Linked DNA regions of Callithrix jacchus. The protein of the gene in region 5 interacts with the protein of the main gene of each other region in a pairwise test. Links are inferred from orthologs where the notes say so. Each region holds a gene or a part of one and is shown on either strand. Other genes may lie near its edges. The genes, in order: CYTH1, CYTH2, cytohesin-4, CYTH3 and IPCEF1.

The links.
Region 1: the proteins of IPCEF1 (region 5) and CYTH1 interact in binary tests that used the Homo sapiens proteins (3 or more experiments, as listed by UniProt). The link is inferred for Callithrix jacchus from reciprocal best matches to the Homo sapiens genes IPCEF1 and CYTH1.
Region 2: the proteins of IPCEF1 (region 5) and CYTH2 interact in binary tests that used the Homo sapiens proteins (3 or more experiments, as listed by UniProt). The link is inferred for Callithrix jacchus from reciprocal best matches to the Homo sapiens genes IPCEF1 and CYTH2.
Region 3: the proteins of IPCEF1 (region 5) and cytohesin-4 interact in binary tests that used the Homo sapiens proteins (3 or more experiments, as listed by UniProt). The link is inferred for Callithrix jacchus from reciprocal best matches to the Homo sapiens genes IPCEF1 and CYTH4.
Region 4: the proteins of IPCEF1 (region 5) and CYTH3 interact in binary tests that used the Homo sapiens proteins (3 or more experiments, as listed by UniProt). The link is inferred for Callithrix jacchus from reciprocal best matches to the Homo sapiens genes IPCEF1 and CYTH3.

The regions. Positions count from the first base shown.
Region 1 is NC_133506.1:134,495,490-134,501,847, forward strand, and holds the start of CYTH1 (cytohesin-1), read right to left. Parts: upstream 3,583-6,358; 5' UTR 3,499-3,582; coding exon 3,471-3,498; intron 1-3,470. UniProt on the Homo sapiens protein: Promotes guanine-nucleotide exchange on ARF1, ARF5 and ARF6. Promotes the activation of ARF factors through replacement of GDP with GTP.
Region 2 is NC_133523.1:42,348,908-42,355,370, forward strand, and holds the start of CYTH2 (cytohesin-2), read left to right. Parts: upstream 1-2,815; 5' UTR 2,816-2,842; coding exon 2,843-2,930; intron 2,931-3,209; coding exon 3,210-3,357; intron 3,358-3,459; coding exon 3,460-3,526; intron 3,527-5,428; coding exon 5,429-5,547; intron 5,548-6,385; coding exon 6,386-6,463. Other genes in the region: uncharacterized protein LOC128930433, read right to left, coding at 2,108-2,815. UniProt on the Homo sapiens protein: Acts as a guanine-nucleotide exchange factor (GEF). Promotes guanine-nucleotide exchange on ARF1, ARF3 and ARF6. Activates ARF factors through replacement of GDP with GTP.
Region 3 is NC_133502.1:208,189,227-208,195,462, forward strand, and holds the start of cytohesin-4, read left to right. Parts: upstream 1-2,590; 5' UTR 2,591-2,689; coding exon 2,690-2,708; intron 2,709-4,689; exon of another isoform or gene 4,690-4,901; intron 4,902-6,236. UniProt on the Homo sapiens protein: Promotes guanine-nucleotide exchange on ARF1 and ARF5. Promotes the activation of ARF factors through replacement of GDP with GTP.
Region 4 is NC_133503.1:15,993,141-15,999,547, reverse strand, and holds the start of CYTH3 (cytohesin-3), read left to right. Parts: upstream 1-2,990; 5' UTR 2,991-3,121; coding exon 3,122-3,149; intron 3,150-6,407. UniProt on the Homo sapiens protein: Promotes guanine-nucleotide exchange on ARF1 and ARF6. Promotes the activation of ARF factors through replacement of GDP with GTP. Plays a role in the epithelial polarization.
Region 5 is NC_133505.1:160,969,213-160,974,875, reverse strand, and holds part of IPCEF1 (interactor protein for cytohesin exchange factors 1), read left to right. Parts: intron 1-3,109; coding exon 3,110-3,482; intron 3,483-5,663. UniProt on the Homo sapiens protein: Enhances the promotion of guanine-nucleotide exchange by PSCD2 on ARF6 in a concentration-dependent manner.

The DNA.
Region 1 (6,358 bases), on a different chromosome or scaffold from region 5:
TCTCATTTCCACTTTTTAAAACTTCCCAACAGTCTTCTCCCCTCTAAAAAAAAATATTTTCCAACAAAGCTCAACTGCATATTTCCTGACAATGAACTATGCACTGTTCTCATCAGTTTGCGGGTAAGATGAAGACTCAGTGAGTATAAATCATCTACCTCAGGTACGCTAGTAATAGAGCCCAATTCACACTCAGGTCATTGGCTGCATCCTCAGCTCTTTCTTTCCTCCTACTGAAATACACACATTCACTTCAGCTCAGCATTTACTGAGCATCTGCCATAGACGCAGCCTGTGCTTGGGGCTGGGATTTAAATAGCTCCAGTCCCTGCCCTGTACAGAATGCAAAGGCCAGTGGAGAGAAGCGTGGAAGCCAGTAGCAGCAGCACGTCTGGCCACAGCAGCCAAGTGCAGCCAGTACTCACAGAATTCCAGGCAATGCCAAGAGGCTTCAGAGAGGGCAGACTGGGTGCCAGAACTTGAAGACCAATGGATTCCCCAGATGGAAAAGCAGAAAGAACAGTGCATACCAAGCAAGATAAAGTTTCTGGAAGTGACAGAGGCCAGCAACAATGGGCACACCACAGGGCAGGGCCCAGGACACAGCAGGCCTCAACTAGTACCTGGGAGCGGGCTTAGTGTCTGCCTGTGAAGGGCATCAGAGTCCACATCAAAGATTTTGCATTCCATCCCAAAGAGACGCCACAGAGAGGGTTCAAAGACAAATTACGGCCAGGCGTGATGGCTCACGCCTATAATCCCAGCCCTTTGGGAGGCTGAGGTGGGTGGATCACCTGAGGTTAGGAGTTCAGGACAAGCCTGGCCAACATGGCGAACCCTATCTCCACAAAAAATACAAAAATAAGCCGGGCATGGTGGCATGCACCTGCAGTCCCAGCTACTCATAAGGCTGAGGCAGGCGAATCGCTTGAAGCCAGGAGGCAGAGTTGCAGTGAGCCAAAATTCTACCACTGTGCTCTCGCCTGGGCGACAGAGTGAGATTCTGTCTCAAAAAAAAAAAAGGCAAATCAAGGGAGACTAACCATTAACAAGATTAAATACCTTTAAAAAAAGAATAATTTCTGGCAGTTAAGAAAACAGTGCAAAATTAATTATACTGGTTAATTCTCACTAACACACACATACAGAATGAAAACTGATGAACATATGTACCAGGTATGAAAGGCAGAAAGCTTTTTTTTTTGGGTGGGGGAGACAAAGTCTTGCTCTGTCACCCAGGCTGGAGTGCAGTGGTGCGATTTCAGCTCACTGCAACCTCCGCCTCCCGGGTTCAAACAATTATCCTGCCTCAGCCTCCGAGGTAGCTGGGATGACAGGCGCCCACCACCAGGCCAGGCTAATTTTTGTATTTTTAATAGACATAGGGTTTTACCATGTTGCCCAGGCTGGTCTCAAACTCCTGACCTCAGGTGATCCACCCACCTCGGCCTCCCAAAGTGCTGGGATTATAGACTTGAGCCACCACGCCCAGCCCCAGCCAGCAATATATTTAATCTAAAAACCGTGGGTTTGAGATTAGTGTGGCAGAAGAGTCTGACTTCCTTAAAAAATATTTTCAAAAACCCCCATGTACCCTTTCTTAGGCATATTCTTTAGGGCAGTAAGTCTAGTTAAAAGCAGCTCTATGAAAAGCATAACTCTGACTTCACTTCTGCCCTCCCCTGGGATTTCAGGGACCTGCCAGAGGAAACTCTACTGGTTCCCCTCCCTTTACACCTAGCTAAATGCCACTCTGTCTCTCACGGCAATAACCTAGGGGCATCTATTTTAGCATGGTTGAAGGGGCAACACTGCCCTCAGTCCCAGGTGACAACAAGGAAACACCATGAAAGGGGGTGACAGAAATGCAGAAGCATCAGTTCTTTAAGGTTACTAGTTCAAAGCAAAGCTGCTCAGTAATCCATGTCCAAACTCCCCACCCCTAACCTCACGCCCCGCCTCCATCATGTCCACTGTGGAATCAGGTAGTTTATGTTGACTTTTAAAGCCTCCAGGATGGCCAGAGACTGAGTGCATGCCCAGGACAGATGTATAGATCCTGTGCTTAAACTCTGAGATGACTATGAAACAGCACCTCTGGGTGGTCTGAAGCTGGGCTCACCCAGAAGAACCAGCAGCAAGTAAGCATGAGGGACCATGTCCAGGACCACAGCCAGGCCCGGCTCACTCCTGCCGTCCTAGCAGTCATTAGTGTCCTCTGCCACTCTCAGAGTGTTCCCTTCGAAACTCAGTCTTGGCTAGTATGGATGCACCTTTCAGTTACAAAAACATCAAGCAGGAGTTCAGCACTGGCCTGGCACTGCCACTCGCTATTGTCTCCTCTTCAGCTACAGAAGCGCTGTTATGGACACCTGTGTGTCATTCCCTCCCAGCGTCTCCCACACATGAGGCAGCTTTTGGTGTTGCCTATGGTCGCTGTCCAGGATCATCTGCACTTAACAGGTATGGCTTTCAAATATGTGCTTTATAGTGAACCAGAGCAGGAAAGGCCTAAAGAGGACCCCCAAATTTTATTACAACTTTCACAAAATCCACTTTCAAATGTACCCTAATATTAACTGCAAACTTATTTATATCATGCATTACCAGCTACAAGCCAGTACACATTTTACTATTTTGTCTTACAGCATTACAGCATCACCATCTGATAAAGGTGCCACAATAAAATACAACAAAACACACATATATCCACAAACAGAACTCCTGTGCTAGCCCAGGGCTTTAAGACACAGCTCTTCAGCAGAATCTCTTGGGGTTTAGAAGCCACAGCTTGTCATCCCATTACTCATAGCTCCACTGTTTACAGGACGGGTGTGGAGCAGATAAAGGAAGTTCTACAGACCCTGTCCTCACAGGCTTCAAACAGTCTTCACCTACAACGAAAAGGAGAAGACCAAATTTGTCTTTTCCCTTAGATACATTTTATTTCATAAGACAATATTTTTTATCCCGAATCTCACTGGTTCTTCCAATCTGATCTCTAATGTCTTTACTTTTTAGCATCAGATTCTCTCCGGATATATGTGGAATTCCCAGAAGTTCTGGCCAACTGTTATTTCGATACAGGAAGTAGATACAATCACCAAGTATGAAGTGGAATCTACCAAGAAACACCCAAGGCGGAACTCTAACGAAAGCAAAGATTGGAGGAGAACTCTTTGGTTCAAAAAGACAGAGTTACCTTACTAGCTCTCTCTCCCTTTCTCTCTCTCTCTCTCTCACACACACATACCCCTGAAAAAGCCTCAGCTTCCTAACCACTAAGACACTATACAGTGTTTCTCCTGAAAACAGTAAGATAAAAACAAAAACCAGAGTCTAGGTTGGTCCTTAACTCCTCCCCAAAAGGTTCAGTAAACTATGTTCACAGGATTAAGAGATACCTAAAATTCCACTCCATATACCCCAAGTCACATCAGTCCCTGCCAGGGGCTGCGGCAGTGACTCACCATCCTCCTCTTCAGTTTTAAGGACCATCTTGTTTCCTTACAGCAGAACACAACAAGTCCGTTCTGTCCTTCAAGGACAGCAGTGACTTTACTGGGAGCCAAGTTTTCCTGTGGGGTCTGACTGGGAGGGGCCGGGGATACCTGTGAAGCTGTCCAGCCACTAGGACAGCTCAGAGCTGCTTCCTGAACAGACAGGCAATGGCTGGCCGCATGCCTGGGCCAATCAGCCTCCAGCCTCCAAAGAAGCGGCACTCCCAGTCACTGCCACCACCCAGTTCCTGAAGTCAAGCTCACGCACCTTCTGAGTGTGTTAACCGTCTGCTTCCCTGGAAGCAATCTCACAGTGGACTCAAGCTAATTTAGTAGCCACACTTCTAGTCTTTTCTCAGGCTCAACCAACGTCATAGACAGGGCTCGCTGCTGTTTTTCTCTTCACTTTCCAGTGCAGTTGTTCGTTGGTATCCAAGGGGGACTGGTGCTAGGAACCCCCATGCACACCAAAACCCACAGATGCTTGAATCTTTGAGTTTGTATAAAACGGTGTAGTATTTGCATATAAGTAGTACACACATCCACTCATATACTTTAAATCATCTCTCGATTACTTCAAAACCTAATACAATATAAATGCTTTGTAAACAGCTGTTAGGCTAGATGGTTTAAAGAACATTAAAAAAGTCTGTATGTGTTCAGTACAGGTGTGACCTTTGTTTATTTTCCAAATACCTTCCATCCACAATAGGTTAAATCCATGGATGGGGAGCCCATGGAAGGCCGACTACATTTTCTTAAAATGGAATCCTTAAAATCCCTGGTCCCCTCACAATGAGATAATAGCACATTTCCCAAGAGAATGACTAAGAGATCGTAATCATTACAGCAAGTTATGAGGTCACAGGCTAAAAGTAGAAAGCAGATATTAGAGGCAAAAAAAAAAAAAAATCCAAAAGCCAAACTCTCAGTATAAGTTTGGTTTTATCCCATTATGATTCCTAACATGTTGTACAAAAATATTCTTTTCTGCACAGTCCTATTATGTTCATGACACATATGCACTGTTGAAAATTAGAAAATAGTAACAAGAAAAAGAAACACCTGCATCCCATCACCAAGAGATAACCACTGATGACATTTTGGCATATATTTTCTAGACTTCTGTTATATTATATATGTTCTCTCTCTCTGATGTATATTTGCGTGTGTGTGTGTGTGTGTGTGTGTGTGTACATATTTTACATGCTGTTTTAAAACCATCTATTTTTACTTATAACATTTTTTCATGACTGTAAATGGACATCTATCACATTTATTATTATTCACAGTCTAGACATAACGTTTAACAAGTTCCATATTGTAAGACTTTTAAGTGATTTCCAATTTTTCTATGCATCTCAATACACAGGTGCACACGTTTTGACACTTCTCTTTAATTCTTGGAAGTAGAACTCCTGGATCCAGATATAGCTTCCCACCACACCACCATAGTAGGTCACACTTACTGCATGCCTACTTCTTGCCTAGCTTGATATGACCTAACTCATCCAATCCTGAAAACATCCCATAGGGTGGGTGTCCTCTCCATCCCCAGGTCACGGATGAGAACGCCAGCACCCAGAGAGGTTACACAGCTTGCCAAAGCATGAGACCTGGCAGCAGAGCCCACCCTCTGTACCATGCTCTCTGCTAGACTCCCAACCCTTCTCTTACTAGTCTTGGTTGTAAATGTAAACTCCTGGCCGGGCGCGGTGGCTCACACCTATAATCCCAGCACTTTGGGAGGCCGAGGCAGGTGGATCACAAGGTCAAGAGATCGAGACCATCCTGATCACCAAGGTGAAACGCCGTCTCTACTAAAAACACAAAAATTAGTTGGGCATGGTGGCACGTGCCTGTAGTCCCAGCTGAGGCAGGAGAATTGCTTGAAACCAGAAGCCGGAGGTTGCGGTGAGCCAAGATCATGCCATTGCATTCCAGTCTGGGTAACAAGAGCGAAACTCCGTCTCAAAAAAAAAAAAAAAGTAAACTCCTGCAGCAGCTTTGCAGGAAGTGCTAGACTTTGGCTAAGTCTTATTGGGGAGTTGGAAACACACACATCTACAGCAAGACAAGAGGGCACTGTCTCCAGTCATACTCCGAAAGTGACCACAGGTGCTGACATGACTCAAGGCCAGAGACTTCATCACATTCTCTTTTTTCTTGCCTAATAATAGCTAAATAAATACATATGCATGTATTTAAAAAAAAATAAAAAACACTTTGTTTTGTAGAGGAAACTAACATAACCCAACATGTCATCTTTTGGTTTAGTATGTCAAAATCACAGCTCTAAGTCCCACCCTGAACCATTTTAAAACCTATGTTTAATGATTCCCAAACAGCATTTCTTATCTTCTGGTATCGGGTCTGATTCACAGCCAGTGATCCGAACTTACAAGAGGACAGGTCACTTCTATTTTCTACCTACAGTCAAATGGTATAGCGTTTCTCTGGAATAGACACCCAAAGGCAGAAAAGCTGGTCATGAGACCAGAGTACTTAAAGCTTTCACAGATGCTGCTGAAATGCTTGCCACTCCCTCATGGGACCAAACTTAACTTCTGCCATGAGACAGCGGGAAACGGTTTCTCATTGCTGTTGGTCATTTGCACTGACCTGATTACTGGTGACGCTGATTATCTTTTTATAAGTTCGAGGTATATCCTCTTTCGTAAATTGCTTTTTCAAATCCTTGGCCCACTTTTCTATTGCTTATCATTTTAAAAGTTATTTGTAGATTACGAATCCTTTGTAATAAATGTTACAAATATTTTGTCATAACCTGTCACTTTTTAAGAAGTTTTTACAAAAATAGTTGTATCTTTTGTCTTATCTGTTTTGTTCAACATTCA
Region 2 (6,463 bases), on a different chromosome or scaffold from region 5:
TGTCAGCACTTTTCCATAGCTGTCAAGAAAGAACAAAGACATAAAGATTTATATTACTTTTTTTTTTTTTTTGAGATGGAGTTTTGCTCTTGTTACCCAGGCTGGAGTGCAATGGCATGATCTCGGCTCACTGCAACCTCTGCCTCCTGGGTTCAGGCAATTCTCCTGCCTCAGCCTCCTGAGTAGCTGGGATTACAGGCACGCGCCACCATGCCCAGCTAATTTTTTGTATTTTTAGTAGAGACGGGGTTTCACCATGTTGACCAGGATGGTCTCGATCTCTTGACCTCGTGATCCACCCGCCTCAGCCTCCCAAAGTGCTGGGATTACAGGCGTGAGCCACCTCGCCCGGCCCTGATTTATATTACTTTTACCGATTATCTCTTCTGAGAAAAAAGGAACCAGGTGCAGAAGCGGAACATGAGAGTGGACCTGGAACATGACCGCTGAGGCACAGCGTCACATAGAGACAGTTACGCCCCCGGATGTCTGCGGGCCTCCCTGACAGCTGCCAGCCCTACCGCAAGAGTTTGGAGGAGTGGAGTTTTCTCCTAACTCCCCGGGGGAAGGAGACATCTCTGACATCTCTTTCTGCAGCTTCCTAAACAGCGGGCACTTTCCCAGCGCTGGTGCTGCTGCATAGCCAAGGCGCCCTCCAGCAGCCTTTACATGGGTATGACAGACGTTTAAAGCATCTTGCCTTAGGGTCATTCCTTTCACAACGTCACCCCAGGTTCACACTTTGCGACCTGAGAGTCATTAGTAAAAGAACTAAGATCACCTATGAGTAACTACTATGGTTATACCTCTAGTTATTTTCTTCTTCATTACTTCTATGGGAATAGGCTGAGGCTTCGGACTCCTGCCTTGGCACTTACCAGGTCTCCCCCCAACACTTGGGAGGCTGAGGCAGGAGAATCGCTTGAACCTGGCGGGTTGAGGTTGCAGTAAGCCGAGATTGTGCCACTTCACTCCAGCCTGGGCAACAGGAGTGAAACTCCATACTCCCCAAAAAAGGGGAGGGGCAAGGGTATGAGAGGATGAGAGGGACGGTGAAGTGAGGGAAGCCAGAGAGAAAGAAAAGGCCTTCTGAGATGGGAGAAGGAATCAGAGAGGAGGGAGGATGCTGAGGAAAGGGGAGTTGTCTTAGGGGGAGGATACTTGTGGAAGGGAGGAGTATTAGGAGGGTGATACAAGCTAAGGGAAGGAAGGCCGAGCTTATGCTTTCACAAAATTTGACCTTCCCATGTTCCATTCTCCATGACACCAAATAGCATAGCATTTAGAAAAAGTAAATCTTGGGCGGACGCAGTGGCTCACACCTGTAATCCCAGCACTTTGGGAGGTCAAGGCGGGCGGATCACAAGGTCAGGAGTTCAAGATCAGCCTGACCCACACGGTGAAACCCCGACTCTATTAAAAAAAAAAAACCGAAAATTAGCCAGGAGTGGTGGCGTGTGCCTGTAGTCCCAGCTACTCGGGAGGCTGAGGCAGGAGAATCTCTTGAACCCGGGAGGCAGAGGTCGCAGTGAGCCGAGATCGCGCCACTGCCTGGGTGACAGAGCAGGGCTCCACTTCAAAAAAAAAAAAGAATAAATCTTTCGTTTCACCACTCCATGACTCTGAAGAGGCTAAGGGGAATGGGGAGGGCATAGATGATGGTAAGGAGTTTGAAGATTAGAAGGGACTGAGAGGAGAGGAAAGTACCCGGAGAAGAAATGCAAAAGAGGCTCAAAGCTGCTCCCCGTTGCATGGCAACCTCTGCGGTCAGAAGCCAGCATGGGCTGCTAGGAGGTGTGGCTTTCAAAAACAAGCCACAGTTGTAGCCCCGCCCCCTGGCAACAAGACTAACAAAGTACCTCCCCCTAGCAACGCACCGCTGGAGGCGGGGTTCGGTTGACCTAGTCTCCCAGTGTCCAAGGCCTTTGAGCAGGCGCCGTCATGTCTGCTCCACATAGCTCCGCCTCCACGCAACACTTTTCCGAGGCTTCTCATTGGAGAGCAAGCCTGTCAAGGGCCATCTGTTGTTTCAGAGGCGGGGCCTGCTGCCCTGCCTGCACTCCGATTGGTCCCGCGGGCCGTCTACCTCCGGCCAGACATACCTATATCAGCTTTTTGTGCGACTCTTGGCCCTGGAGGACGATCCTTTGGTGTCGAGGGCGGGGAGGACGAAAGCGCCCACTGTGGATTGGACGGTGTCAAAAAGAGGGGCGGTCCCTACTGAAGGGGCGGTTGGAAGACGAAGGGAGGGTCTTTTCAGCGCTGAGGACTGGCGCTGAGGAGGCGGCGGTGGCTCCCGGGGCGTTTGAGCGGGCTCACCAGAGCCCGCGGGCCAACGCGGATCCAGGCCCGACTGGCGGGACCGCCCCGGACTCCCCGCGGGCCTTCCTAGCCGCCATGGAGGACGGCGTCTATGGTAGGTCGTGGAGGGGCGGGGTCGGATGGGAGCTGCTAGAGCGTTTTCTCCTGAACGTTCCGCCGCGAACGTTTCTTCCTGGTGCGTGCCGCCCAGAGGCGTTGGGTCCCGCCGTAGCCTCGTCGCGCCGCTTTTGTGGGGCGCTGGACGGGCTTCCGGCTGGAACCGAGAGCGGGGTGTTCCAGGCCATTGTTTGGGCTGAGCCTGTTTCCGGTGGCGGCGGGAGGGGCGGGATGGAGCGGTGGAGGCGCGGCCGAGGCGGAACCATTCCAGCTGGAGGGGCGGGCGAGCCCGGCGCCTGCCGGGGAGGGGCACTCGGGTTGCCGGGAGGGGAGAAATCTTGGGGGGCGGGGGCCGTCGATGTCCCGCCCCACCTTCCCAACTCTGTCGAGCTGTCATCAGTTCCCTTGGCTGTAGTGACTTTTCATGGACCCAGGAGTCCGGACAGCCAGGTCCTCAGCTACCACCTCTCCAGGAATGGAGTCAGAAAACCAAAGCCTCAGTCCCCTTCCAAGTAATGGACCTAGAAATTCCGGCTCCCAGCCCTTTCTTCCCTCAGACCTAAGAGCTCAAGCACCCATTCCCCTTCTCCCTCAGACTCAGGAATCCGGGCCCCAAGTCCACTCCTTCCCCAGGACTCGAGAGTTTGGAATCCAGGCCCCCAGTCCATTCTTCGGTCCAGACATAGGAAGCCCCTTATGCGTCCTTTCCGAGCTCTCTCCACCCCCAGACTGCGGGAATCCCGGCTCACAGCCCCCAGCACTGACTTTGAAACCTTGACCCTGACCCCCAGAACCCCCAGACCTGACTCCGGAGGAGCGGATGGAGCTGGAGAACATCCGGCGGCGGAAGCAGGAGCTGCTGGTGGAGATTCAGCGCCTGCGGGAGGAGCTCAGCGAAGCCATGAGCGAGGTGGAGGGGCTAGAGGCCAATGAGGGCAGGTGAGGGCTGGGGTGGACGACCTGGGGGGCGTGGGGTTGGCCGAGGCCAGGGATGTCCAGGCGTTGACCTTCCGCCCCCTACCCTGCTCTCTGCTCCTGCAGTAAGACCTTGCAGCGGAACCGGAAGATGGCAATGGGCAGGAAGAAGTTCAACATGGACCCCAAGAAGGTGCTTGGGGCCACAGGACTGGGATCAGCTGGGCAGACGTCCAGGCAGGAACTTCTGGCACCTCCGGGTTCCAGAAGCATGGCTCCGGGTCTGTTCTAGGTGGACAGACTTGGTCCTAATCCCTGGATTCAGAGACTGGCTGTCCGTTTGGAACACACAAAGTGTTCCAGCCCTCCTGACACTCTAGTTGCGTCCCCTGCCGGGAGGGTTCTCTTTCACTGTCTACTTGTATGGGTGCACTTCTTCTAGTCTCAGGATGAGCTCCGAGTCTTGTAGGGGCTGTGGACAAAGGGGCGTGCACAAACGAGAGTTGACTGCCATGACAGAGGTATCGGGAGGGGGCAGGCTGGTAGAGTCAGGGAGGGCTTCTTTGAGGAGGAGACATTCAGGTCAGGTTTGAAGGATGAATAGGTGTTCACCAGGTTCAGGAAAGTGTTTTGTTCACTTTTTTTTTTTACATTATCTTGCTCTTTCACCCAGGCTGGAGTGCAGTGATGCGATCTTGGCTCACTGCAACCTCTGCCTCCTGGGTTCAAGCAATCCTCCTGCCTCAGCCTTTCGAGTAGCTGGGCTTACAGGCTCTCGCCACCATGCCCAGCTAAGTTTTCTATTTTTAGTAGAGAAGGGGTTTCATCATATTGGGCAGGCTGGTTTCAAACTCCTGAACTTACATGATCCGCCTGCCTCAGCCTCCCAAAGTGCTGGGATTAGAGGCGTGAGCTACCATGCCCAGCCTGTTCACATACTCATTTAACACCCATTTTCCGAGGCCTCTTGAGAGTCTGATCCTGTATAGGATGATGCTAGAGACCAAAAGAAGAATCAGATGCTGCCCTGCACTCCCTGAACACCAGTAGCACAATTCAGAGTGAGATACGGCAGTAACAGAGAGGTCTTCATAGCACAGAGACTCAGAGAAGCCTCAGCCTAGCCTGGGCTCTTGAGTTCACAGCCCTGGAGAGACTGCTAACAGGTTGTCACGTTATTGTTTCCTGAAGCAACTGGAACCCTTTTCAGTCATTCAGTAACTGTTTATTGGCTGGTTTAGTTGGCTTACGCCTGTAATCCCAGTGCTTCGAGATGCCGAGGCGGGAGGATTGCTTGAAGCAGGAATTTGAGACCAGCCTGGGCAGCATAGTGATAACTCATTTCTAGAAAAGATGTAAATAAGTAAATCAATTATCCAAGTGTGTTGGTTCATGCCCATAGTTCCAGCTTCTCAGGAGGCTGAAGTGAGAGGATCCCTTGAGCCCAGCAGTTCAAAGCTGCAGTAAGCTGTGATCACGCCACTGCACTTCAGTCTGCAACAGAGCAAGACCAGGTCTCAAAAAAAAAAAAAAAAAAAAGCCGGACGTGGTGGCTCACACCTGTAATCCCAGCACTTTGGGAGGCCAAGGCAGGTGGATCACAAGGTCAAGAGATCGAGACCATCTTGACTAGCATGGTGAAACCTCATCGCTACTGAAAAACAAAAAAATTAGCCAGGTGTGGTGGTGCGTGCCTGTAGTCCCAGCTACTCAGGAGGCTGAGGCAGGAGAATTGCTTGAAACCGGAAAACGGAATCGCAGTGAGCTGCGATGACACCGTTGCACTCCAGCCTGGAGATAGGATGAGACTGTCAAAAAAAAAAAAAAAGAAAGAAAATGTAGTGAGCCCCTGTTCCTAGCCAGACCCTGTTGTTGATGCTGCAGTTAACCAGGCAAAGGCAGAAAGGGTGGGCCATGAGTTGCAAAGGCTCTAAGTCAGGAAGAATGCTGTTTAAGGACCTGTGAGAAGGCTGAAAATGAAGCTGGCCCTGGTCTGTTGAGGGTGGGGGTAGGTATGGATGCTGAGATTCCCCGGGAGGTGAGGGGAGTGGCTTTCTGGCCCTCAGCACTGAGACCTTGTTGTCCCCACCACCAGGGCATCCAGTTTTTGGTGGAGAACGAACTTCTGCAGAACACACCCGAGGAGATCGCCCGCTTCCTATACAAGGGCGAGGGGCTGAACAAGACCGCCATCGGGGACTACCTGGGGGAGAGGTATGGCCACCACTCAGCTCCCGTGGGGTTTCTCACCCGCCCCCCCATGCCCAGCTCCTGCCCTTACACTGGCAGCTCACAGGTGGGACATCAGAGAGGCTCTGGCAGATCATCCTTCAGACTGACAGAATGGACTGACATGGGGGTTAGGAGAGCCTGCGGCCAACTGAAGCATCTGGGGGTGCAGGGACCTTCTGGAATTCCCTGGGGCGGGGGTCTGGAGAGGCATCCATTTATATCTGAACAGTGGAGAACATCTCTCAAGTATCTTGGGAGCGTGAGAACCATGGGTGGACCATGGCTGTGCATGGGCACCATGTGGTCAGCTGGGAGCTGTGGGGACTATTGGGCCCTCGTGGACGCCTAGGAGTTGTGGGCGTCATTTGTAAGCCTAGGATGCATGGGACTGGACGGGAATCAGATGATTGGAGGCCATCTGTGGACTTCTGGGAATCAGGGATTTATAGAGATCTGGGGTGTGTGGGAAGCATCTCTGGGTGTCTGGCGGCTGTGGGGACTGTGTCTGGATATCTGGGGAGTGTGGGGATCATTTGAGAGAGGTGCTGGTCAGTGGCATATGTTCTTGCCGCGTTTCTCCCAACTGTGCAAAGGTCCGGCCTAACCAGGGTTCCCAAGGCAGGTATTCCTCCCAAAAGTGTGTTCTGAGCATCCCCCACCCCAGGGCCAGGCCTGTGTGGGAGCCCAGTGGGAAGCTTCACCCTCTGCAGAGGGCAGCTGTGGTGCTGAAGAGTGGGCACAGCTTCCCTGGGGCCCTGCTTCCTGCCCACTCCTGCCCCGTCGTCTCCAAACTGGATGTGATTCTGTCCTGTCCTTCCAGGGAAGAGCTGAACCTGGCAGTACTCCATGCTTTTGTGGATCTGCATGAGTTCACCGACCTCAATCTGGTGCAGGCCCT
Region 3 (6,236 bases), on a different chromosome or scaffold from region 5:
GCTGATGGTTCTTCTTCTGGTGTCCCGTGGCCTCACTGGTAAGGCAGCAACCAGGGCACAGCCAGGACAGCCCAGCCTATTTCCTTGTGGTCCTCCCTCTTCCAACAGGCTACCCCAGGCTTGTTCTCATGGCAGCCAAACAGGGAGCTAACAGCAAGGGCAGGAGCTGCAAGGCCTTTTAAAGCTCAGCCTTGGCCAGGCACAGTGGCTCATGCCTGTAATCTCATCACTCTGGGAGGCTGAGGCAGGCAGATCATGAGGTCAGGAGTTCAAGACCAGCCTGACCCATATGGTGAAACCCCATCTCTACTAAAAATACAAAACTTAGCCAGGTGTGGCGGTGGGCACTTTTAATTCCAGCTACTCGGGAGGCTGAGGCAGGAGAATTGCTTGAACCCAGGAGGCGGAGGTTGCAGTGAGCCGAGATCACGCCGCTGCACCCCAGCCTGGGCTACAGAGCAAGATTCCATCTCAAAAAAAAAAAAAAAAAAGCTCAGCCTTGAACATCACGGAACATCATTTCTGCCACATGCTATTGGTCAAAGGGATGCCCAAGGCCAGCTCAGCTTCCAAGGAAGGACTTGGGAAATAGACTTTGCCCCTTGACCACAGGAGAGGCGGCATAGTGAAAGGAGATGAACTTGTAGCTAGAGTTCACATCCACCACATGATCTCCACCATGTTCCCTTCATTCATTCATTCATTCATTAGTTCATTCATTTCACACTTGCACACCCTCTATGTCACCAGCATTGTACCAGATACCAGAGCACAAAAGGTAACCTTGCCCTCATGTGGCCTGCAGAGTCATGGCGAAACAGATAAACAAACCTTCGTGTGCCATGAAGTTATAGGGAGTTCACATTTATTTCATAGCTGTTTGTTTATAGCACAGCTTTTCCTAGAAAGGATTTGAACCAACCTGCCCAAAAAGGCACAAGCAACAAATGATGAATTCTAACCAAAGAAGAAAATGGAAGTAAAAGGAGAACGTGCTTACTGAGCACCTCGTATGTCCCAAGCATCTCTGACACATCCTCTCACTCCATCATTTCTAAATCCCAGAGTTAGGCCGAGGCGGGTGGATCACGAGGTCAGGAGATCGAGACCATCCTGGTCAACATGGTGAAACCCCGTCTCTACTAAAAAAACAGACAAAAATTAGCTGGGCATGGTGGTGCAGCCTGTAATCCCAGCTACTCAGGAGGCTGAGGCAGGAGAATTGCCTGAACCCAGGAGGCAGAGGTTGCCGTGAGCCGAGATCGCGCCATTGCACTCCAGCCTGGGTAACAAGAGTGAAACTCTGTCTCAAAAAAAAAAAAAAAAAAAACTAAATCCCGGAGTTAGTGTTACTCCCCGTTCATAGATAAGCAGGCCGGGTGCAGTGGCTCACTCCTGTAATCCTAGCATTTTGGGAGCCACAGCGAGCGGATCATGAGGTCAGGAAATCGACACCATCCTGGCTAACACGTTGGAATCCTGTCTCTACTAAAAATATAAAAAATTAGCACGGTGTGGTGGCATGTATGTGTAATCCCAGCTACTCAGGAGGCTGAGGCAGACGAATCACTTGAACCTGGAAGGTGGAGGTTGCAGTGAGCCGAGATCACACCACTGCACTCCAGCTTCGGCAACAGAGTGAGACTCCATCCCAAAAAATAGATGATTGATAAATAGATAGATAGATAGATAGATAAATAGATAGATAAGCAAAGCAAGGCTGACTAGCCCAAGTCCACATCGATCCTGAGGGGCAGAGCTGAGAGTCAGACAGCTGAGTCAGGCCCCAAAGTTCATACGACATCACAGAATGGCTGTTGATGAGCTTTGGATTTGATGATGAGCTTCCCAGCAGCCTGGGGAGAAGGAAAACAGAACATATTACCCGATTGCTCACTAGACAAGAAAAAAACAGGTATTTCTTTGAAGGGAAGCAAAGCCCCTTCCTACCATTGGATTCATTTGTCTTTTCTCAAGTGGGAGTTGGAAGAGAGCTTGTGGGGTGGAACCTATTGGTCCCGCTAGGTCTGCCCAAGTTGCTTGTTCCTATGGGATCTATGTGAGGAGGCTGCCAGGTAAATGCCCCAGTCCCCTGGAGAAGGGTTCACCCTCAGTGAACATTGTCCGCCGTGTCTGTGCGTGTGTGCGTGTGTGTGTGCATGTGTTTGTGCCTGTGTGGGTATGCACGTGTGTGCATGCATGTTCGCGTGTGCGTGTGTGCATGTGTGGGTGTGTGCATGTGTGTGTTCGAGTGTGCATTTGTGCATATGGGTGTGCACGTGCGTGCATGTGCGGGTGTACGTGTGTTCGTGTGTGCATGTGCGCGTGCCTGTGCACGTGTGTGTGCCTATGTGTCTGTGTTTTTCTCTGTCTCACTTTCTCTTTTTTATCTGACCCTCCCCTCACTTCATGTTTTGTTTGTTTGTTTTTTCCACCTCTGTCCCTCCCTGGCAGAGGTCCCTGCTGTACGAAACTCTGCCAGTTTTTAGGAAGTGCTGCTGTGTCAGAAGCCTGCACACGAGACCCCAGTGGGCCAGGACTGACTTCCTCCCCACACAGAGCCGGGCGGGGCAAGCAGGAAGGGGCCTGTGACAGTCAAGGTGACGCATCCTTGCCAGGCCAGCCCGAGCAGCAGCTGGGTCCACAAACGACAGGAGCACAGGTCATCTTTCCCCCCAGGGGCATCGGAATGGACCTGTGCCACCACGGTAAGCACCTGGGGTCGATCTCTCTGGGCCTCAGCATCCTGTCTTTTAGAAAGGGGGCAGCAGCCCCTGCCTCACAGGGTCCTAGATAAGGGAGTACAGTACAGGCAGAAATGCAGCTGCAAGAAACAAACATTTGCGGGCTCAGCCGAGGTGTCCAGTTGTGTTCCAGAGGCTGGGCACACAGCAGTGAGTAAAGGCACGCTGTGCCCACTCTCATGGGCTTGTGCCCTAGAGCGGGGGACAGGCAGTGATTCTAAGGTCATGTCACATGTCCGTTGATGGCAGGTAGGATGAAGGACTGTAAAGCAGGACAAGGAAGATGGGAGGGCGTGGGGGAACAGGTCCCCAAGAGGGGATGCTATCTAATGAGGGGTCCCAGATCATGAAGCAGGTGTCAGCTAAGGAGGTTTCTAAGGAACAAACATTCCAGCCAGAAGGAATAGCTGGTGCAAAGGCTCAGAGGTGGACTGGGAAAAGTGCTCTGAGATTAAGATGATGATGTGATGTTGGTGATGGCAACGTTTGTCTGGGTGATACAAGGCCCCTTCTTGGCCCTCTGGGCTTGGGGTGGTCTCTGGGGAGGCTGAGGACACTGCCTAGAGCCAGGGGAGGGCCAGGAGTGAGCAACAGAGGGCCTGACTGAAATCCTCCCTGGCTACTAGGACAGCGTGTCTGGGGAGAAAAGAGGGAAAAAGAGGCTGCAACATTGGTGAGGGAAAGAACAGGCAGGGTCGTGCTTTGGGAGGCAAATGGAAGGTGCAGAAGAGGGGCCAAGTTTCTGCACCCTGGATGTCAGCGTGCTCCAGAACCGCAACCGTTCTACTGAACACGGCTGCTGGAATTTCAGAACATAAGGGCTGGTGGGAGCTGTCTGCTCCCCGGGTCCAGGTGACTTCAGCCTTGTCCAGGAGCACCCCTAACGTGGAGCATCCTGGCCCCACCCACTGGGCTTCCCCCCACTCCACCCCCAGATGGAAGCCTCGGGGCCGGGCTGCAGGGAACACAGTTAGGGAACCTCTGATCCATTTCAACAGACCCCAGTGGAAGAAGGGAGAAAAGAGACCAAGGGAGGAAAACAGCCTCTCTAAAGCAGGGGCGGGACCGAACCCTGGCCACTGACTCACTCTCTGACCCCTGCCTCTCCTGTGGGCTTTGGGGGCTCCCACAATCACAACTCAGTGAGCATAGCTGGTGGGGTACCTGGCAGGCACAGGGAGACCCCGAGAGGGGCGGCTCTTGGCTCAGGCCTCTCAGCAGATGTGAGGGTGGGACGAGGCAGAGAGGGCACCCACTGAGATGCAAGCCCCGCCTGTGTGTCCAGCAGGGTGCTTTGTCCTTTGTGGTCCTAACATACTGAGGTTACAGGGGTGGCTCTCTCCATGGTGCAGATACAGAAACTGAGGCCCCAGAGGTGAACTGGAGGCAAGGACTGACTTGCTTGATGTCACACGGCCAGTCCGTGGCAGAGCAGGGATGAGAACCTGAGGAAGAAAGCCCAGGTTGGCCGGCGCTGTGGAGAGGGCAGAGGAGGGGCCTCGGGGGCCAGAAGGGGAGTCTCTGCTTGCTTCAGCTGGTACTAGGGAGGAAATGGATTAAATGGGGTCAGTACAGCAAACACTGGTTCTCCACTGAGTGGTTGGTCTTTTCGTTCATTCACTCTATAACCGATGTTCCCGTGTGCCATGCAGTGCTGGGGACAGCAGTGACCCAGCCATGGGCCTAACCCTGGGGGACAGGTGTGGGTCTGAATGTTGGGGGTGGGGTAGAGAGGCAGGAGACAGATTCTGCAGGACCCTGACCCAGCTGTGCAAATGGACACAGACCTAGAGATAAGAGAAAGCACTTTTCTCACTGGGGCAGAGGAGATCTGGGAAGACCTCCTGGAGGAGGAGGCCAGGGGGAGGGAGGAGAGGTCATTTCCCTGTTGCGTAGAGTGGGTCTTAATTGAGGCTTCTCCATGGCCCGGTGACTTCCCCTCTCTGAGTTCCGATTATTTGTCATCTCAGTGTGGATCCCCTCATCCTGGCCTGGCCTGGGGAAGCGGGGATAGGGCGTTAGCCGGATCTCGCTGGGGTTCCAGCTCTGCGCCATCCTGCCTGTGGTCATGACCAATCTCTTCTTCCTGTGGGGCCTCAGTTTCCCACCAGGGCTGCCTCCCCCGCTCTCCTGCGGTGGGCCTGTGTCCGGAAACAGGTAAGGCGCCCCCCGCCCCCGGCGCCCCCAGGGCCTGCCAGGAAGGCAAGAGGGCCGGCAGCAAAGATGAGCACTGCGCTGGTGCAGAGTAGACAGGCCAGGCAGCCATGGTTAAAAACAGGCAGCTGGGCTGGGGGACAGGAAGCCGCACTCCGCAGAGCCTGTAGGGCGTGTGGGCTGGGGCGGGGAACAGCTCCGCCCACACCCCCTCTGCCCCAGGGTCCCTCCCACTGAGACTTTAGGGCCCTGAGACGGTGCCCTCCTCCTGCCTGGAAAGGGGAAGTGAGGCCAGCTGTCCTGGAAGCAGGGCTGCAAGCTCAAAATTTCTAAAAATACAACGGGAAAGAGGAAGGACAAAGGGGAAGTGAGGAGGAGCCCGGGAGATGGGCACCCTCGCCGGCCTGGGGACTTGGGGTGGGGGGGTCCAAGCGGTGCCTTGCAAGGTTGTGAGAAGCACAGAGATAAATGAGGAGGAAACGGGGTCGGTGGTGGTGGTGGTGATAGTGATTTTATTGTTTTTGTGTATCAGCAGTATAATTAAAAATACATCTCCCAGCCAGGCACGGTGGCTCACGCCCATAATCCCAGCACTTTGGGAGGCTGAGGTTGGCGGATCACCTGAGGTCAGAAGTTTGAGACCAGCCTGGCCAACATGGTAAAACCCCGTCTCTACTAAAAATACACAAAAAATTAGCTGGGCATGGTGATGGGCGCCTGTAATCCCAGCTACTCAGGAGGCTGAGGCAGGAGAATCGCTAGAACCCAGGAGGCGGAGGTTGCAGTGAGCCGAGATTGTTACACTGCACTCCAGCCTGGCCACAGAGCAAAACTCCGTCAAAAGAAAGAAAGAAAAGAAAGAGAGAGGGAGAGAGAGAAAGAAAGAAGGAAAGAAAGAAAGAAAGAGAGAGAGAGAGAAAAATACGTCTCCCATGAGCCTACACCAGTGCCTGAAACTCCGTTCTTATCAGGCTTAGAATCAGAAGCGGCCCCTCTCAGGCTGTGTCCTAGTGGCCCTACCTGAACCTCAACGCCCTAAACTCTGAAATGGGGAGAAATCACCACTCTTTAACAAATAGGGGAAGGGTGAGGAGGCTCCGTGTGCACCATGTCAGGATACAGCAGGCCTGGGGCCATCGGCGCCGTCATGTGGGTTCAGATGTTTTGACTGACTGCCACCTGCTAGGGACGGGGCCCCATCAGAAGGGGACAGGGGACTGAGGATTCACAAACACACTGTCACCCACAAGGGAGTACGAAAGGAGTGGTGTGGGGTAAAGACGCGAGCAACCTGCTTACTATCCCCATGCAATCCCACTCCCCTGGGAACCGTGCCTC
Region 4 (6,407 bases), on a different chromosome or scaffold from region 5:
ATCGAGAGCATTCTGGCCAACCTGGTGAAACCCCATCTGTAAAAAAAAAAAAAAAAAAAATTACAATTAAATAAGTATTTGCTAAATGGCTGTATTCCTTCTAGGCCATCAGTTCCATAAAGCTGGGGACTGAATTTATCTTTTTCATCATTGTTTTCCCAGCACCTAAGACAGTGCCTGGAATACAGGAGGTGCATAAATATTTGTCATCTGACCAAATGATTGCAACAATTTAATAATTGGGTTTAATACTTGTGTTTCTGGAGCGATGCCAGCTGCATGGATTATTATCCTTACAACTTCACTTATAAAGCTTTCAGCATCTGAGCAAACCACTCATAAACTATGCATAAAGTGAGTGCCTGTCTTAGTGGGTAACTAAAATACTTAATGTTCCTATATGTAGAGATAGTATGTATGAAGCAGATTAGATCATTGCTATCTTGGTGGGATTTGAGAGATCCTGAAAAGCACTTCTTTTTGAAAATATCTAATTTTCCCCTTAGATATTACTTCTTTTGACTTGTGAAGATTTTGAAGTCTTCCAGTTTCTCCATTAAAGCGCAGAAATGACACCCAAAGATTTTATCCTCACAGTGTTTTTGCAGAATTTGTTGAAACGCAGGCCCAGGCTAACCCATGGGTATAATATAATATTCTGCTTATGTAGCTGGGCTGTGCTTTAGTCTGATGAAAATTAGATTAGATGGAGATCAGAGAGGCCACTTTCAGATTAAAACTCTGAGAAAGGCTGGGCACGGTGGCTAATACCTGTAATCCCAGCATTTTGGGAGCCCAAGGCAGGCAGATCACCAGGTCAGGAGATCGAGACCATCCTGGCTAACATGGTGAAACCCAGTCTCTACTAAAAATGCAAAAAATTAGCTGGGCATGGTGGCGTGCACCTGTAGTCCTAGTTACTTGGGAGGCTGAGGCAGGAGAATCGCTTGAACCCAGGAGGTGTTCAAGTGAGCCGAGATCATGCCACTGCACAGAGAGAGACTCTGTCTCAAAGAAAAGAAAAAAAACTCTGAGAGAAGCACCTGTGGATCACATTCGAAGACATCTAAAGAATTGACATGAAAAAGCATTTATAATTGATAGTATCTTTGAGTTCAAAGCTCCACTATCTAATTATCAAGTTCAAAGTAGTGGTGTCCTTTTTTCTCAGTAACTATGCTCTTATCTCCAAGATAACAAAGCTGACGGGAACAAGATCAGGAAGCCAAGTCTGGGGGTTGGGAGTTGAACCCTACATCTCCTGACCCCTAGACCCCTTTTCTGGTGCCTCTTTGTCACTCAAGCTGTAAATATCTTTGCATGCAGAAGTGTCCCTCAGCTGGGTGCAGTGGCTCACGACAGTAATCCCAGCATTTTGGGAGGCAAAGGTAGGAGGATCGCTTGAGTCCAGAAGTTTGAGACCAGCCTGGGCAACATGGCAAGGTTGTTTCTCTATAAAAGAATACAAAAATTAGTGGACACCTGGTAGCCTGTACCAGCTATTTGGGAGGCTGAAGTGTGAGGATCATTTGGGCCACTGCACTACAGACTGGGCAACAGAGTGAGACCCTGTCTTTAAAAAAAAAAGAAAGTGTCCCTCGTGGCTTTGGTTGCACCAGAATGCTTGGTTTTTAATTCTTGAGGTTATTAGGAGATTTAACTCTGAAATCATCTCGCAACCTTGAACCAAAAGGTGACAGCTATTCCACTTTGATAGATGACAACGGAAGGATCCTTTGGTTCAATGGACAGCTTATAAATATAAAACAGTTGCTGGAAAATTATATTAGAGATGAACTATCTCCTCCATTACAATGTTTGCTTTTCTGTAATGCAATTTAGTTCCAGCAGAAAGGCTTGGGAGAGGCCACAAGCAATGCTTCAGGAGTTACTGGAAGCAAGATATGGGGAATGAGAGAAGAGATCCATCGATGTGGAGCAGGGGCCAGCCGAGGCCTTGTGCCCAGGAGGCTTGCGCTGAGGACCCTTGCTTTGCCCAAGGGAAATTGAATTCAGAGCTCCTTCTGCATCATAAATTCAGGGCAGCTGGCAGCTCTCCAAGGGATACTGGCGCTAAACTCCAAGGGCATCTGCCGCCAGATTGGCCAACCCCTACAATGCCCTTTGAGGGCTGAGCCCCAGGTGTGTTGGATTGGGATGCCGATCCAGCCTCACGACAGCATTCATTTAGAAGCTCTGCATTTTGTTAATTTAAAAATGCACTCACCGTCAGGGAAGGAGAGCCTCTATTATATATGAGACAGCTGAAAGGCTGGAATTATTCTGACATGCCTATCTTAGGAAGGAGAAGGCCTGACCTTTTTCTTCCTTTTTTTTTTTTTTTTTTTTTTTTTTTTTTTTTTTGAGACAGTCTCACTCTATCACCCAGGCTGGAGTGCAGTGGTGCAATAACTCACTGCAGCCTCGACCTGCTGGGCTCAAGTGACCTGACCTCCCACCTCAGCCTCCCCAGTAGCTGGAACTACAGTCACGCGCCACCATGCACGGGTAATTAAATATGTTTTTTGTAGAGACAGGGTCTCCCTATGTTACAGGAGCTGGTCTCGAACTTCTGGTCTCCAGCAATCCTTCCATTTCAACCTCTCAAAGTACTGGAATACAGGTGTGAGCCACCGAGCCTGGCCAGGTCTGACTTCTGAATGCGTTCGTTTTTTGATCTTTTACCCCGAGTGCAAGTGCAAGTTACACTCCTGACCACTGGGTTTTGCAAAATGTGGTTTCCAGTGTCCGAGGCCCCACGCCCGTCCGCAGGCTACTGAAAGGCTGAGGGCTAGGAAGCTTCGCTCCGCGCGCTTCAGGTCCGCCGGCGCCCTAGGGGCCGGGTCTACAGCAGCAGAAGCCGCCGGGCCGGGCCGGTTCCCGAGGGCGGGGCCGTGCGGCCTCACGCCCCGCCCACCCCCGGGGGGGGGGCGCCCTGGGTCGGTCACGTGACGGCACGCCGACCAGCGAGGCCCCGCCCCGCGGGAGGAGGCCCCGCTGCGACCCGGGCTGCGCGCTGAGGAGCCGCCCGGTCGCCCGCACGCTACCTCTGGCTGCGTCCCCCGCCCGCGGCCCCTCTGCCGTCCGCCCGGGGCTTGCCGGCTGCGGGAGTGGCCTCAAGATGGATGAAGACGGCGGCGGCGAGGGCGGTGAGTGTCGGAGGTGTGGCGGGCTGGCCGGCGGCCTGGGGCCGGGGGCTGGGGGTCGCGGGCGCGGCGCCGGCCCGGCGTCCGCCTGAGGAGACTGGGACTGGGGCGGCGGCGGCGCCTGCTGGAGGCCTGAGGCGCGCCGGGCCGGGGCCGAGACGGGGACTTCGGGGGCCCGAGGGAAGCGGCTGGCCGGGGTCGCCGTCCAGCGCTGGCGAGGGTCCCGGTACCAGGCCGGGGCCACCGCGGGCCGGGGTCGCCCCAGAGTCTCGGGCGGAGGTTCGGGGGTCGCTCCTATGGGGCGGGGGACCTTGTGGGGCGACCTTCCCCGCATCTTGTCGCCAAGGGCGTCCACGCCCTCCGGAGCCAGGCGTTTCGGACGCCCCCTTTGAGCTCAGGTGGGCGGAAGCGGCTGAGCCGGTGGGGAACCGGGAGGGGAAAGTTTGGCATGGGGGGCTCCTCTGGGGTACAGGAGGGGAGGGCAGGGGGAGCGGTTGGAAAGCGTGACAGGCTGCTTGGCTTGGGTCAGAAACGGTCGCCGGATTTGCTCGAACGGGGAGGGGTCTAGCTGGAGTCCAGGTGGGGGTAGGCGTTTTAGGAAACGGCAGACGCGACAGAGTGAGCAAAAAAACTCGATGGAGCGGAGGGTGGGGGTCAGGAGCTGCACCCAGCACCGAGGCGAGACCGGAGAGCCAGATGTGCTCCCAAGTGGGTCGGGTCGGTGCCCGACGTGCCCCAGGTGGTCTGTGCCTGACATTCGGTTTCCTCTTACTGGAGGAATCGTGTTTGTTGGAAATTATTTCGTGGAATACAAATGACTGTTGGGTCATGCTGCGAATTAGATTTTAAAAACAGAAGAACGTGCCTGTCTGTATGGAGTGGCTGTTCGCTTTGGAAAGCAAAGGGTTAATGCCTATGTTTTTACAGGAACAGACGAAGTTGAGGTTCTCTAGACTTTTTTCATTTTTGGCTTTTTTTGAGCTAAAGATCTCCTTTGAGCTGACAGAAATCAGAATCATCAGAACCTCATGTAATAAGGGAGCAGTTTAGAGAAATCTTAATTACAGGCTGCCGCAGCAGCTGCCTGTAAGAATCAGCAGTATTGAATGCTTCAGGATGAAGTGGTTCATCATCAAGGTGCCTTCTAGAATTCAAGTGCTGCTTAGAGGGAGATTCTTTTTGCTGAAAGACGCGATGCAGCCAGGATGGTGGGAAGTTGGCACCCGTCATGGCATTTGGCGAGTTCAGTTCTCATAGTTGAAGCTAGGGGTAGCACTGTGGCATCGAGTGGGTGTGTTTATGAAAAGGGAGCGTTGCGGAACGAAGGAGCCCAGTTGCAAACCCTCCTACAGTCAGGTTGTCCGTCTGGAGCCACGAGATCCTAAGGAATGGATTCCCGGTGGAGGTCGTGTTTCCTGCCTGTCATAATTTGGGCAGAGCAGTTTTCTCTTGTTAGAAAAGAAGGACAAACAACTGTAATATGCAGACGTTTGGCATTAGAGTCAGGGCAGCTCGCTGGCTTGGCAGTTTGTTTTGTACTTTGGGCTCTGAGAAAAGAAATGTAGACTTGAAGATAAAAGCAGGGATAAAGAGGAAAAAAAGGAAGCTTTAGTGTGCTCCAGCAATTTGCAGATCTTGAATAGTATAACAAAGGATGATATTAAGTATCAAAAGTCTTAAAACTGTCCTTGGGCTGTTATTATTATCACAGGGAAGCAACCTTAAAATAAAAAAAAACCTCATGTATAAAGATGGTGTATTATGCTGTTTGTAATAGCAAAACATTGAAAACAGCAATACCAACCGTAGGGGCATGGTGAAGTAAATTATGGAAAGTTTATTCAAGTATTTTACAACCATTAAAATAAGCGGTTTTATACATCATGGGTTAAACAATGTAAAAACTGGTGACATTATGGATTATTTTATTTTTTTCAAGTTTTCCAAGTTTCTGGAATAAGCATGTATTTCAAATTTGAAAAAACTTATAAAAGACATCAATGTTTTAAGTGTATTATTTAATTCACCTCACCAGAACATTCAACAATGAAGATTTATTTATTGATTGCCCAGTAAAATGCCAGCCAGCATGTTAGGTGCTGGAAAATAACTTTTAACTTTTATCGATTTAGTTTATAAATAGCTTTCTCCCTTGCTTTGTGACAGACACTTAAAAATATTTTTGGTAGACTGGGTGCGGTGGCTCACTCCTGTAATCCCAGTACTTTGTGAGGTCGAAGAGGGCAGATCACCTGAGGTTGGGAGTTTGAGACCAGTGTGACCTACATGGTGAACCCCGTCTTTACTAAAAATACAAAATTAGCTGGGCGTGGTGGCGTATGCCTGCAATTCCAGCTATTCAGGAGGCTGAGGCAGAAGAATTGCTTAAACTGGGGAAGCAGAGGTTGTGGCAAGCCAAAATCGTGCCAACGGTTGAGTTTTGAGCGAAACTCCGTCTCAAAAAGAAAAAAAAGAAAAAATACACACACACACACACACACACACACACACACACACCGTATATATTTAGCAGTCTTAGGATAAGTATTTATTTTATTTTATTTTGAGACAGTCTTGTTTTGTCTCCAGGCTGGAGTGCAGTGGCGTGATCTCCGCTCACTGCAACCTCCGCCTCCCGGTTCAAGCAATTCTCCTGCCTCAGCCTCCCAAGCAGCTGGAACTACAGACGGGCGGCACCATGCCCAGATAATTTTTTATATTTTAGTTAGAGACAGGGTTTCACTATGTTGACCAGGATGGTCTTGATCTCTTGACCTCGTGAGCCACATGATAAGTATTTATTTTTGAAACAGGTGAAAAGCAAAGTTTTGAAATATGAGTCATATTGTAATTATTGTATAAACTTGATGTGCTTATATTTAACTCTTGGCAGTTGGAAATTTTGAAGTTAACATACCTCTTTACAGTTAATACCATTTAGCTTTAAAAAAATGGTTTAAAATTCATGTTTAAAAAAATAAAGTTCAGCTCTCTGATGGAAAACCATTTCAGTTGCCAGCAGATTATAAAGCATAACACTTTTTGGTATATTTTTAGAGTGTAATACTTAACATTGAATTGTATCTGTGGGAGTCAGTTTCAGCTTGTTTAAAAGATAAAGTAAATAATCTATTCAAACAGTAGTTATGGTAGAGGCCAAAGATAATTTAAAATGTCTTTTTTGTTAATGGTCAGACTATAAGACTTGAAAAATTGATTCCTACTTGCTGTTTTTGTAAGTTAATTTAGCTTTTTGTCCAC
Region 5 (5,663 bases):
TATAAGTGGTACGTGGTGTCTAGAGAAAATGGGTTGAGAGAGCATTTGCACTGTGTTTGAGTCACACCACAAACAGGATGACACTGCACAGATATTTCTGATGCTCATTTAATAGGTCTTAATACTTTAAGCAGAGTTTTGAGGTTCAAAAAACCTTACAGACAGTGATGTAGCAACTGTGTGCATGGTCTCTTGTTCAAATAGCCCAGTTGGCTATAACCTAATTTAAAGCAGAATCAGCAGGAGTAATAGGAAAAGCTCATGTTTGGTGTTTCAAAAAAGAGATTGATCATGTAGAAATTGAGTTTTACTAAAATAGCTCACAATGGGGGAGCGTGTCAGGATTGGGCCAGAATAGATATTTTTGTTAATATTTATTTTGTAGATCTTGCTAATTAGTAAACTACTCCTAGTATTTATTTGGACAGTTTGGGATAGTGCATTCCCTCTGCTAGATAACTAGGTTTTTACTGAAATGACAGATCTTTGATCTGTTGGTTATTAAATATCTAAGTGACGTAAGATAGCCAGTTTACAAGCTACTTCACTTATTCCTGAATGGAATTTTTTTAATGTCCGTGACAGTATATGATCATTTATAAAATATGTGGGATTAGTATCTTAACTAGAGATTTTAATGTCATGCTACTTAAAAGTAGATTTATTGATTATCTGACAATCCATGTCGAGCATGGAGCTGATTGGGTACACATTAGGTAAATATTGGCTTCTCCCATGAAAACTCAGAGCTCAGAATCTACAAATTTCCTGTGGACCATATTGATTTGAAACAGAGTCAACTCTTCTGAATTAGTTGCTATGGTTCTGAGGTTTTTGAAGAGGATTCTAGTTTGCTCTTTGGCTTCCTCTCTCTATCAACCTTCCTGACACTTCCTTGGAGATTTTCTTGGTTTCTGTTTTTTTGAGATGGAGTCTCACTCAGTTGTTCAGGCTGGAGTACAATCACGTGATCTTGGCTCACTGCAACGTCTGCTTCCTGGGTTCAAGTGATTATCCTACCTCAGCCTCCCGAGTAGCTGGGATTACAGGCATAAGCCACCATGCCCTGCTAATTTTGTATTTTTAGTTTCACCATGTTGGCCAGGCTGGTCTTAAACTCCTGTCCTCAGAGATCCACCTGCCTCTGCCTCCCAAGGTGCTGAGATAACAGTTGTGAGCTACCGCACCTGGCCTTCCTTGGAGTTCTGAATGCTTGACATTGGCAGGCATGCCCCATAGGATGATGTAATGCAACTGAACCGTAAAATGCCTTCTCTATCTTATCTGCTGTTGGAAATATAGGGTGATCCATAGAGTACTGGAGTCTAGATTTTTAAATTTTATTGGCCAATAAAATTAAAAATTTTATTTAAAAATTAAAAAATGGAAGAACAAGATAGAATTTCTGAATCTTTATTTTGCTACTTAGGACATTTAAAAAACTCCAAAGAGACAAAGGCTTATATGTGCTGTCACCATTTTTTTTTGAGTTGGAGTCTTGCTCTGTCACATAGGCAGTGCAGTGGTGTGATCTTGGCTCACTGCAACCTCCACCTCCCGGGTTCAAGCAATTCTCTTGCCTCAACCTCCCGAGTAGCTGGGATTACAGGCATCTGCCACTGTGCCTAGCTAATTTTTGTATTTTTTGTCGAGACAGGGTTTCACCATCTCGGCCAGGCTGATCTTGAACTCCTGACCTCGTGGTCCACCCACCTTGGCCTCCCAAAGTGCTGGGATTACAGGCCTGAGCTCCTCCCCGCCCAGCTGCTGTCACCATTTTTTCAAAAGAAGGCATATATTTCAACATCAAAATGTAGGAAAGATAAAAATCTCAGAATAAATGAAGTTCTTCCCAAAAGTGTCCTTGTTGGTTATATTAGTCCATTTTCACATTGCTATAAGAGTGTGAAACTACCTGAGACTGGGTAGTTTATAAAGGAAAGAGGTTTAATTGACTCACAGTTCCACATGGCTGGGGAGGCCTCAGAAAACTTACAATCATGGTGGAAGGCAAAGGGGGAAACAAGGCACATCTTACGTGGTGGCAGGAGAGACAGTGAGCGAGGCGGGAACCGCCAAACACTTTTAAACTATCAGATCTCATGAGAACTCACTCACTGGAACAGCATGGGGGAAACCACCCCCATGATCCAAGCACCTCCCATCAGGTCCCTCCCTCAACATGTGGGGATTACAATTTGAGATGAGATTTGGGTGGGGATACAGAGCTAACCGTATCACTGGGATGTTGCTTTGATGTTTTCTCTCTGTACTAATGAAAATGTTGCCAAGGCTTGTCATGCAATAAGGAATAGGTGAGCGATATTCAAGGGTTTAGGTTCATATGCTTTGCACCCATCACTCATCTCCACTCAGGTAACATTATTTTGTTTCTGGAATGGCTCCAGCTTTTGCTCTCTTTTTCCATTTTGGAGGCAGAGTCTCACTCTGTTGACCATACTGGAGTGCAGTGGCATGATCTTGGCTCGCCACAATCTCTGCCCCCTGGGTTCAAGTGATTCTCCTGCCTCAGCCTCCCGAATAGGTGGGACTACAGATGCGTGCCACCATGCCTGGCTAATTTTTGTATTTTTAGTAGAGATGGGGTTTCACCATGTTGGCCAGGCTGGTCTCGAACTCCTGGCCTCAGGAGATCCACCCACCATGGCCTCCAAAGTGCTTGGCTTACAGTCATGAACCACCACACCCAGCTTCTCTTTTTTCATAATTATCTATTTGCTCCATCAGTGTGAATTCAGCAAAAGATTGCAAATTTTATTTTGCTCAAAGTATAATGCAGTATTCTGAAGGATTCCCAAAAGAGGCCCTTTAAGTTTCTGGAGAGCATTGAAGAATAGGACAACTCGTGATAAGGAGATTTTTCAGATCCTAGAACAGTGAATTGAAAGTTACATAAATCAGTTTTGGAGAATGAAATCCTAATGTGTGTCAAACAGACATAAATATCATGCCTTTATTTTTGACTCTTTTATTATTGGTCACTTTTTGAAATAACACGGGGACACCTTTTTTGAAAATGAAAGGTAGAGAATGGTGGTTTAATCACGATGTCTTTTATTCTTTTTTTGGTTTTATTTGTGAAAAATAGGCTGCGCAGCAGGCATCTTCATCCTCACCCAGCCTGAGTGGAACATCATGTTCTTTCTCTTCCCTGGAAAATACAGTGAAGACACCCAGCAGTTTTCCTTCCTCCTTATCTAAAGAGAGACAGTCCTGGCCTGACACAGTTAACAGTTTGTCTGCTGCTGAAGACGAGGGACAACCAATAACGTTTGCTGTGCAGGTTCATTCACCTGTACCTGCAGAGACAGGCAGCCACAAGGTCCCGGAAAACAGCTTTGTCACATCAGAAAGTGGATTTTTGAACTCTTTATCTAGTGATGATACTTCTTCATTGAGTAGCAATCACGACCATCTTACTGTCCCAGATAAGCCTGCTGGATCAAAGGTCATGGACAAAGGTAAACCAAGAAATTGTTCATTCTTCTTTAGAGAATGAATATTTGTGTGTGTGTATGGAACTCTAATATTAATTTGTAACAAGAATGGTTAAATTCATGAATGGTGATTCAAGAATTAGTCAAGTGGGGTTATGCCCAGAGGTTGCTTTGTAGAGGGGTTGCATGTGGCAACTCCAGCTACTAGGCCACTAATTACTTGCTGTAAGTGTCACTAACCAACTGCTTCAGAACTGTAAGACATGTGATCATAAAATAATGATACTTTTTCACTAATCAGAGAAAAACCTTGCCTCTTTCTTTGGTCCCATGTCACATGCTCTGGAGCTTGTGGTGGTTAAATCAGGACTTTGTAGTCTGGTATTTTTCACATTACATTGATAGTTCAAAATGAGCTGTAAGCAGCTGCCTTCCCTGGGTTGTGCCCCAGACACTGTCTAATTCTTAGCCCGCCAGCTCCTGAATGTTCCTGTGTGGTTAATGGGAAGACAATTTGCCCGCACTTTGTGCAGCATTAGAACCTTTACATATAAAGGAGAGCACAACTTATGTGTTTGAAAAACATTTTAAGTTTTAACAAAGGAAAGAGTTAATTGAGCATGGAAGGCAATAATATGAGGTTTAAAAAATACTCTGATAACTGGTCCTTACCTTTTATTCAGGACTAATGTATTTTTATTTCTGTTCTATCATAATGTCTTTTCTGATTGTGTGCTATTATTCATTTTGCTGTAAAACAGGGTTACCTGATGGAAGATACTGAGCAGTGAAAGAATGATGAGTTTGGTTTGTTTATTTTTTGGTGTGCCATTGAGAGAAAGTTGACTTGCTAGATTCCCATAATAACCTGCCAGAGTGTCTAATGATGTAGATGACCGCTCTCCCCTCTCCTCTAGCCTAATCACGGAAGACTTCTTTAAGTTCTCAAATTTCAGATGGGTACCCTGTTAATTTAATTTTTGGTATCAGAGTAATTTGGCCAAGGATCACAACTTTAGACCAAGTTGTTTTGTGTGTGCGTGTATCTGTATAGTGTTTTAAAACTATGTAAATTTGAATAGTCAGCCTGGTAACTAATTCTCCAGGTTATAATAGCTATCGCCACTCTCTGAGGCCTTACCTAAAGATATTTTATACAGATCTGTCTGGCCTCTGATGGAGTTTTTCTTTTTCTTTTCTTTCTTTTTTTTTTTATTGAGACAGAGTCTTGCTCTATCAGCAGGCTAGAGTGCAGTGGCATAATCTCAGCCCATTACAACCTCCACCTCCTGGGTTCAAGTGATTCTCCTGTCTCAGGCTCCCAAGTAGCTGGAACTACAGGCAAGCACCACTATGCCCAGCTACTTTTTGTATTTTTAGTAGAGATGGGGTTTTACCATGTTGGCCAGGATGGTCTCAATCTCTTCACTTCATGATCTGTCCACCTCTGCCTCCCAAAGTGCTGGGATTATAGGTGTGAGCCACTGCACCCGGCCTTGATGGCATTTTTCTTATACCCTTCCCCACTATTTAGGCCAACTATTTATTTTACATTAGAAGAACTGGAGTGAATAAAGTCATTGGCAAACCAACCTATTTGTAGAGGTGCAGGAGTAGCATAGGGAGGAGAAAGGAAATAGTGCCACCGAGGAGTGTAGAGGGCTAAAGACTGGACTGTGAGAACGGAAAGAGTAGTCTCAACCCACCCTCAGGTTTGTGAGGTGCTGCTGTGTGGACAAAGTATTGAGCTTAAATGCATGTCCTTGGAAGCACAAAATTGAGTTCAATGGTGCAAGTCAAAAGGAGGTAGATTTAACCTCAGCATAAGAACTTTGTTTTTGATGTTATGAGCTGTTCAACATAGAATAGGTTCCTTGGAAGTGATGCATTCCTTGTCACTGGATGTGTTCACTCATTCTGAGACAGCCATTTTCATTGACTATTGATTGCATATTCATCAGAACTTTTGTTCTTGAAAGCATATATTGAAGAGAGAACTTAAGTATCTTGAACTAGGTGACTTCTACCTTGATATGTGGAAAAAACTTCCAGATATAGGATTGGTAGAACTAAAGAAAATAATAAAAAGTACTACATCTATTATTTTTCTCCTTCAAACTCTTACTTTAATCATTGGGTTATAAGTAGAACTTAAAAAAATTCACACACACACACACACACACACACACACACACACAAACATGG